2 linked regions of the Canis lupus familiaris genome follow. The protein of the gene in region 1 purifies or fractionates together with the protein of each later gene. This does not show direct contact. Links are inferred from orthologs where the notes say so. Each region holds a gene or a part of one and is shown in the gene's direction. Other genes may lie near its edges.

Region 1 (3,816 bases):
TGACATCTTCCTGCTGATGGAGCAATCCTTTCTGAATCCCCTAAAGGCAAGATGCCATGAAAGCAACCGAGATAACAGAGGTGCACACAGATCCTTGAGCCTTTCATCTGGGCGTTTATGCTGACTCCTTCTAGAATTAGTTGTGATTCTGATGATCAGTCATCTCTAAATACTGTCATTGCTTATCATCTGCCTGATGACAGCAGTTGCACTGACTGGAATAGGATATCGGTTTACAGAAGGGATCTTAGAATAAAACTTAGAATTTATCTTAGAATAAAACTTCACTGTAATTTTACTTAATACTTGAGGACTTAAGAATGATCATGTTTTCTACTGAACAACAGTAACAAAAATCTGTTAATACTGTTTCTTTAGCCAGTAAATATTCATAGCTCATGCTGCAGTTAACTTTAGGTCCCCACTAAAGTTGAGTGATGGACATGAGTTATAATCATAGTTTTTTATTATGATTATTGGAAGTTAGTCTTAGTCTGTATAAGAGAATATCCAGAAACTTTACAGTTGCCTAGATTTTGTTCTAACTGTTCTAGTTATATTGCAGGTTACACTCTGGAAAGCTTTCCTTTTCATTTATGTCTCCACTTACTAAAAGAATTAGAATTGAAGATTTTTTAGGCTGTTGTTTAAGTGCTATTTGTACCTATTTTACAATGACATTTAGTAGATAAAATTAGATAATAGATGTGAATAATAAGTGTGCTGTCAGAGTCTAGATGTTGGTGGAAATATCAAATGTTAGTATCAGGCTAAACATTTAATAGTTGATATCCTCAAGTAGTTAAGCTGACATTTTTCCCTAAGAGTAGCATTGCCCCTTCCAGTTTGAGGTTTTGGTGGCAAAACAGAATGGCCAGTCTATAAAAATGCAGGAAACTCTGTCAAAAATGTTTTCAGGAAATTCAAGCAGCAAAAAAGGCCTAATAACAAAAGATTCCATTAAAAAGGAAAGAGGAGCTGCATAGTGGACTCATGGAATGAATTACATCTGGTTTGATTTTAGGTAGAAGATGAGACAGTTTTGTGCAATATTCCCTACATGGGAGATGAGGTGAAAGAAGAAGATGAGACTTTCATTGAGGAGCTGATCAATAACTATGATGGGAAAGTCCACGGCGAAGAAGGTAGTGGTGCTGGGTTCTTTGGGAAAAACTTTATTAGAGTGGTGCCCTTTCTTTGGTAAATAATCATCTTGCTCTTACCTGCTGCCTCATGTGTACTCGCTGAAGAATATTTCAATGTCATCACATGGCTAAGAGTAAAAACTTTATATTAAAAATGCCCTTGGTCAAATTTTATTTATTTATTTAAGATTTATTTACTTTATTACTTTTTAAAAAAGATTTTATTTATTCATGAGGGACACAGAGAGAGAGGCAGAGACACAGGCAGAGGGAGAAGCAGACTCCATGCAGGGAGCCCAATGTGGGACTCAATCCTGGGATTCCAGGATCAGGCCCTGGGCTGAAGGCAGGCGCTAAACCTCTGAGCCACCCAGGGATCCCCAAAATTTATTTACTTTAGAGAGAGAGAATAGAGGGAGGGGCAGAAGGAGAGGGAGAGAGAGTCTTAAGCAGACTCCATGCTGAGCTGAGAGCTCAGTGCAGGGCTTGATCCCACAACCCTGAGATCATGACCTGAGCCAAAACCAAGAGTTGGATACTTAACTGACTGCACTACCCAGGTACCCCCTCAGTTAAATTTTAAAAGGAGTTGGAAGGGCAATCCAGGTGGCTCAGCGGTTTAGCACCTGCCTTCATCCCAGGGTGTGATCCTGGAGACCTGGGATCAAGTCCCAGTTGGGCTCCCTGCATGGATCCTGCTTCTCCCTCTGCCTGTGTCTCTGCCTCTCTCTCTCTTTCTGTGTCTCTCATGAATAAATCAATAAAATCTTTAAAAAAAATAAAATAAAAGGAGTTGGAAGCACTGGGTGTTATATGCAACTGATGAATCACTAAATTCTACTCTTGAAACTAGTAATACACTATATGTTGACTAAATTGAATTTAAATATAATTTTTTAAAGTAATGTATATTAAGAAGAAAAGGGAGTTGGGACATAAAAGGATTTTATATATATAGTAATCAGTAGCAGGAGAGAAAGTTTAGTGCACAGAGAAGTATGATCTTAGGAGTTTTCCCTAAGTCCATCCAAAGCCTTTTTGTTCTTCACTTCCCTTTCTCTTAGAATGGCAATGAGCATAATCTCTCTGTTCTACTCTGATCTGGATACCCCCTGGATCTCCCAAAAATTGTGTATAATATTCTGACTTTGTTGCAAGCAGGTCATTTGGATTAGTTGTAATTCTAGAAAAGGCTGCTAGTGTGTAAGAAGTGGGAAGATGGGGAGAGACTCCCCATGGCTTTGCAAACCAATGGCCTTACCAGCTCTTTTGACCCTTTTGGGTACTGTTGAAAATACAGTTTTATCCACAGTGCCTCCTAGTGTTCAAAGACTGTCCTAAGCTGTAGTGTAACCCCATACAGTATGATTTTAGGAAGGTAATGCTGTGTTTTGAGTCAGAGAAGTCATTACCAAGCCATCAGCAGCAAAACCAAGTACATTTTGATGTTATAATTCTTTCTCTGTTCCATCTGTATTGTTTTTACACTTTTTTGAGATTCTGGACCATAAATACAGGTTGATTTGTAACTGAGGAATGAGCTATCCTAGTACAAATAAAGTCTATATAACTGGATTTCCCACTCTAGCCAGCTGAACTGGTGCAGTTCTAAAAACAAATCAAATTATTGTAATTTCCTGGTTGTTCATATAAAAATGTACATATGTCATCTCTCTGGGCCTCAGGAGTGAATACTGGAATTCCTGGAAGGATTAATGGAGCATGAAATGATCATTGCTAATCCATCTAATCTTTATGTTCCAGAGATGATCCCTGGATCTGTCCTGATTAGTGATGCAGTATTCCTGGAGTTGGTAGATGCTCTGAATCAATACTCAGATGATGAGGAGGAAGGGCACAATGACACCTCAGATGGAAAGCAAGATGACAACAAAGAAGATCTGCCAGTAACAAGAAAGAGAAAAAGACATGCTCTTGAAGGTAAATATTCCATTTTGAAAGTGACAGGGAGAAGAAAGAATGGAGAAACAGAAAGAATTGTTATTAAAGGCTGTTGGTGCTTCTCATTTGGCCCACTTAAAAGGAAAACAAAGTAGTGTGTTTGGGAAATATGGAAAGTTATAAAAAAGAAATATAATTATCCTGTAATCTTACTACCAAGGAATAACCGGCATTAATATCTCCTTCTAGGTCTAAAAAATGTATATGTATATATACATATATATACACCAAGAGTATGCGTATACACATATCTAAAATAAATATAATAGTATATGTCAACTACATCTCAAAGTTTTTAAAGCATATATATAAATCAAGATGTTTATATACATTATGTGAAATGGGATCATGCCACATATACACACAATTTTATATCCCTTTTTATTTGATCTTCTATCATAAGCATTTTTCCATGTTGTTAATATTTAATAACTTAATGTTTAATTTTGCTCTGTGTTATTTAATTATATGTCCAGGGACATAGTGTCACTCTCTTGTTCTTCAGCACCATCATTATGAATTCAATATTCACATCTCTCCACGAAAACTCCTGTTTTCCCCTCTAGTTTCTATCTTAGACTGTGGGTTTTGTCATTAATGTATACATAACTGATTTCCTTATTACTGGTAGCCTATTAGATAAGTCCAGGTGGCACTGACCTTCCTTATATGTTCCTAAACATCCAGTGGTTAGGTTAACAAAATAGCT
Region 2 (4,297 bases), on another chromosome or scaffold:
TTGGTCTCCATGCTGAGTGTGGAGCCTACTTGAAAAACAAACAAAAAAGTAGTGGGAACTAGCAGTTCTATCTCTGTAAGATGCATTTCCAACAACATTTTACTTCTGTGTTTAATACTTATGTAAGTATTTAACGATTTATTTATTATTTTAGAGAGAGAGAGAGTCCAGGCAGGAGCGCTGAGGGGCAGAAGGGAGGGAGAAAAAAAGAGAGATTCCTAGCTGAGTGAGGAGCCCTACCTAGGCCTCAATCTGAGGCCTGAAATCCTGACTTGAGCTGAAACCAAAAGTCAAGGCTTAACGGACATAGCCAGCCACCCAAGCGCCCCTCTTACATAAATATTTAAAAAAACGTGCTTTGATCATTCGAAATAATAAAGCTTTAAATTCTACGATCACAAGAGATTCAAACACGATCCTTAATTTCAATTTATTTCATTTTATTACAAGGGACTAGAAGATGATCAATAAAACAGACATAAAAGTCTATTATTAGGATAAAATTCTGGAGGGATGTGGAATGTAAATACGGAGGATAAAGGAAAGATGGAAATTGCCCAAGTATCAAAGAAACCGTATTTAAAAAAGTGGATTTGGTGGGCCTCAAAACTGCAATATTTGGAGTTGGCCGGCTATATTTAAAAGTGACAATGATAAAATATTCATAACCAGTTGGGGGAAAAAAAATGTAGATGTCTTTTTCAACTGCAGAAGGATGTACAGAATTTGGGGGACTCGTTAGCTACAAAGTCTGAAGATCCTGAGCAGAACCCAAGTCTGCAGGGAGGCCGGCTGAACCATTTCTTGGGGGGCGTTGGAATCACGGTTGGCCCCAAACCTGTGGCTCCACGTTGCGCGCGCGGGCGCAGCAGCTCGCCCCGTGTTCCCCGTTTCCACCGTCGCCAGCACCTCCCCTCTGGGCCGCGCAAGAGCAGGGACTTGTTGGATTCCTGGCTCGTCGCCTGCACACGGGGGTGGGGGTGGGGGTGGGGGTGGGGGGGGCGGACGCTCCCCAAACATCCCCGGAATGAATGACTTTATCGTGAGAACTCGGAAGGCTGTTAAAATCCCCGGCCAGCGCTCCAGCTTTCGTTCTGCGTGTCCCGGCGGCCGCGAGGCCCGGAGCAGGCGTGGGAAGACCCCGAGGAAAGTCTGAGCCCTCGGCGGGGGGGCGGGGCGGGGCGGGGCGGGGGCGGGGCGGGGCGGCCGGGGGCGGCGCCACCTCGGGCCTCCGCGCAGGCGCGCAGCCGTGTCCGCGTGAGTGCGCGCAGCGGCGCGCCTGTCCCCGCGCGGGCTCCGTAGCGCGTGTGCAGGCTGACGCAGCTCGCGGGCCCTCCTCCTGCTCTGCGGCGGCGGCGGCGGCGGCGGAGTTTTGGGCGTTTGGGAGGGGGCGAGCGAGGGAGCTAGAGTCAGGAGAGGGAGGCGGCGGCGGGGAGGAGGAGGAGGAGGAGGAGCAGGCGCCGCCATGGCCGCCGCTATCACCGACATGGCCGACCTGGAGGAGCTCTCTCGCCTGAGCCCTCTGCCCCCCGGCAGCCCCGGCCCGGCGGCGCGGGGCCGGGCTGAGCCCCCCGAGGAGGAGGAGGAAGAGGAGGAGGAGGAGGAGGAGGCCGAGGCCGAGGCGGTGGCGGCGCTGCTGCTGAACGGCGGCGGCGGGGGCGGCGGCGGCGGCGGCGGCGGCGGAGTGGGGGGCGGCGAGGCGGAGACGATGTCGGAGCCGAGCCCCGAGAGCGCCAGCCAGGCCGGCGAGGACGAGGACGAGGAGGAGGACGAGGAGGAGGAGGACGAGAGCAGCAGCAGCGGCGGGGGCGAGGAGGAGAGCAGCGCCGAGAGCCTGGTGGGCAGCAGCAGCGGCGGGAGCAGCAGCGACGAGACGCGCTCGCTGAGCCCCGGCGCCGCCAGCAGCAGCAGCGGGGATGGGGACGGCAAGGAGGGCCTGGAGGAGCCCAAGGGACCCCGGGGCAGCCAGGGCGGCGGCGGGGGCGGCAGCAGCAGCAGCAGCGTCGTCTCCAGCGGCGGCGACGAGGGTTACGGGACCGGGGGCGGCGGAAGCAGCGCGACCTCCGGGGGCCGGCGAGGCAGCTTGGAGATGTCGTCGGACGGGGAACCCCTGAGCCGCATGGACTCGGAGGACAGGTCAGTGCCCGGGAGGGTGTCCCCTTCCCTTCTCCTTTCTGCGCTCGTGCGCCTCTCGAGGGGGGCACGAGGGGACTTTCTTTTTTTTTTTTTTTTTTCTTAAACTGAGGTCCCCCTGCGCCCCAGATCCGCGGCCCCTCCCCCCGGCTCCCAACTCGGAAATCTCTCCTGCCCGCCGCGCCCCTCTCGCCGCGGATGGCCGCCCGCAACTCTCCGACCGGCCCCCCCCAACTCTCCTTTCCCCGCCCTCTTTCCCCCCTCGGCTCTGCGCTCCGGACGGACCTACGGACAGCGCCAACTCCGAAACAGCCCTCAAAGTAGGCCCCGATCCCCTGGCGGAGCTCCCGAGGGCCTCGATGCTCACACCCCGGTACACAGGGTTCGCTCGGCCCCACCGGTGTTCGCGAACACTTGTCAGAACTGTAATTGACAAGTGTTTTCCAACATGGCTGGTCTCGCCTGGATTTAACAGAACTTCCTTGTTCAGGGAGGAGACCCCCCCCCCCCCCCACCCCCCACTATCACTTTTCGCCACTTAGAAGGAAAACGACTGGCCTTTTGTAATTTGGTCAGTGCTTCTACAATTTCTCACGTGTAGTCATTATATACGCTCTCCAAAGTGATTTTGCTAACTTGTATTTTGCTTTGTGACTAAACGTGGGGAGAAAGTTTAGAAACACTTGTAGGAATTGTAGACGAGAATAATGGATTGATGTCCTTTAAGATGATGTGAGGGGATCAAAGAATTGGGAATCGTAATGAGGTACAGCCCGGAAGGCACACCATATTGGTATGTGGTTTAGAATCTTTAACAGGAATGTCATGATTTTTTAGACGGTGATATTAAAGTCGTGGATCGGAGAGATCTCTGAAGAAATAAGTAGCCTTTTTCTAAAGCTTGTTAGAAATAATATGAATAGGGATCCCCTGGTGGCGCAGCGGTTTGGCCCCTGCCTTTGGCCCAGGGCGCGATCCTGAAGATTCAGGATCGAATCCCACGTCGGGCTCCCGGTGCATGGAGCCTGCTTCTCCCTCTGCCTGTGTCTCTGCCTCTCTCTCTCACTGTGTGCCTATCATAAGTAAATAAAAATTAAAAAAAAAAAAAAAAATAACATGAATACAGTCGAAAATACGCTTCATGTTTTGGAGACATTACAGTTTATTGCATTAGTGTGTTTCAGTTATTACTTCTCATCACTTTGGAAAACTTCCTATTTTAACTAATTGGTTTTTAATGTACTTTTTTTTTTTTTAAACACAGAGACAACCATGTCATGCCTATTATACTGCTCCTGGCCTTTATTTTGACCATCTATTAATGTTTTGATGTTTTGATGAACAGTAGGATTTTTAACCATCGGTATTGATTGGTCTTTAAAAGTTTAAGTATTCTGAGGTTTTAGGAATTCGGATTGGTAACTAATAAAACGAACACTTTGGTTTATCGTTAATGTTACAAGGAATACAAAACTCTAAAAAACGTGAAAATATAGCACTAGATTCAGTTCGACATTTACTTTAGAGAAGAAAATACCTTGGATGGATGGATGGAGTAAAGTAGACTGTACAAACCCTAGAGAGACTGTGCTGAACTATGTAGGTATGGCAGGAAGGAGAATCTTTAAGATGATTAAAAATTGATGTGACCCACACAATGAAGCATATGTTATTTATCATTTTAGTATATCCTCGTCCATTGGTACCAGCAGATATTTGAAAGTTGACATCAGTTTATACAGTTAACATCTAGCACAGTTCTTCCATTTATCCAGCGTGTGTGGGCACACACAGGTTTAGCACTGCACAATTTAAATGTCTCTATTCATTCTCACAATTCTGGTGCAAGATAGGAATTACTTTGACTTCCATTTAACAGGTGAAGCAAATTGTCTTACTCAAAAAGTAAGTATGGAGTGGAAGAGCTGGATCCGAACAAAGGTTCTCAAGCCTCCTACTTCCACTTCACAAGAGTTAGAATACTCAACTCAAATAACAAGCTGTATGTGCCAGGATTTTTTTTTTTTTTTTTTAAGTTACTATTTGCTACATCCATTTAGGAGATGAACTATTATTGGTCAAGTAATATTTCAGGAAGTGGAGTTTTGGCTTCATTTCATATTTATAAGATAATCACTGGAATATCTAATTTTTACATCATATT

The links.
Region 2: the proteins of EZH1 (region 1) and AEBP2 purify together in Homo sapiens (affinity purification with mass spectrometry; 3 studies listed by BioGRID and IntAct, with this or other methods). This does not show direct contact. The link is inferred for Canis lupus familiaris from reciprocal best matches to the Homo sapiens genes EZH1 and AEBP2.

What each region holds. Positions count from the first base shown.
Region 1 is NC_049230.1:20,146,882-20,150,697, forward strand, and holds part of EZH1 (histone-lysine N-methyltransferase EZH1), read left to right. Parts: intron 1-1,024; coding exon 1,025-1,145; intron 1,146-2,909; coding exon 2,910-3,086; intron 3,087-3,816.
Region 2 is NC_049248.1:18,429,809-18,434,105, forward strand, and holds the start of AEBP2 (zinc finger protein AEBP2), read left to right. Parts: upstream 1-1,374; 5' UTR 1,375-1,465; coding exon 1,466-2,136; intron 2,137-4,297. UniProt on the Homo sapiens protein: Acts as an accessory subunit for the core Polycomb repressive complex 2 (PRC2), which mediates histone H3K27 (H3K27me3) trimethylation on chromatin leading to transcriptional repression of the affected target gene.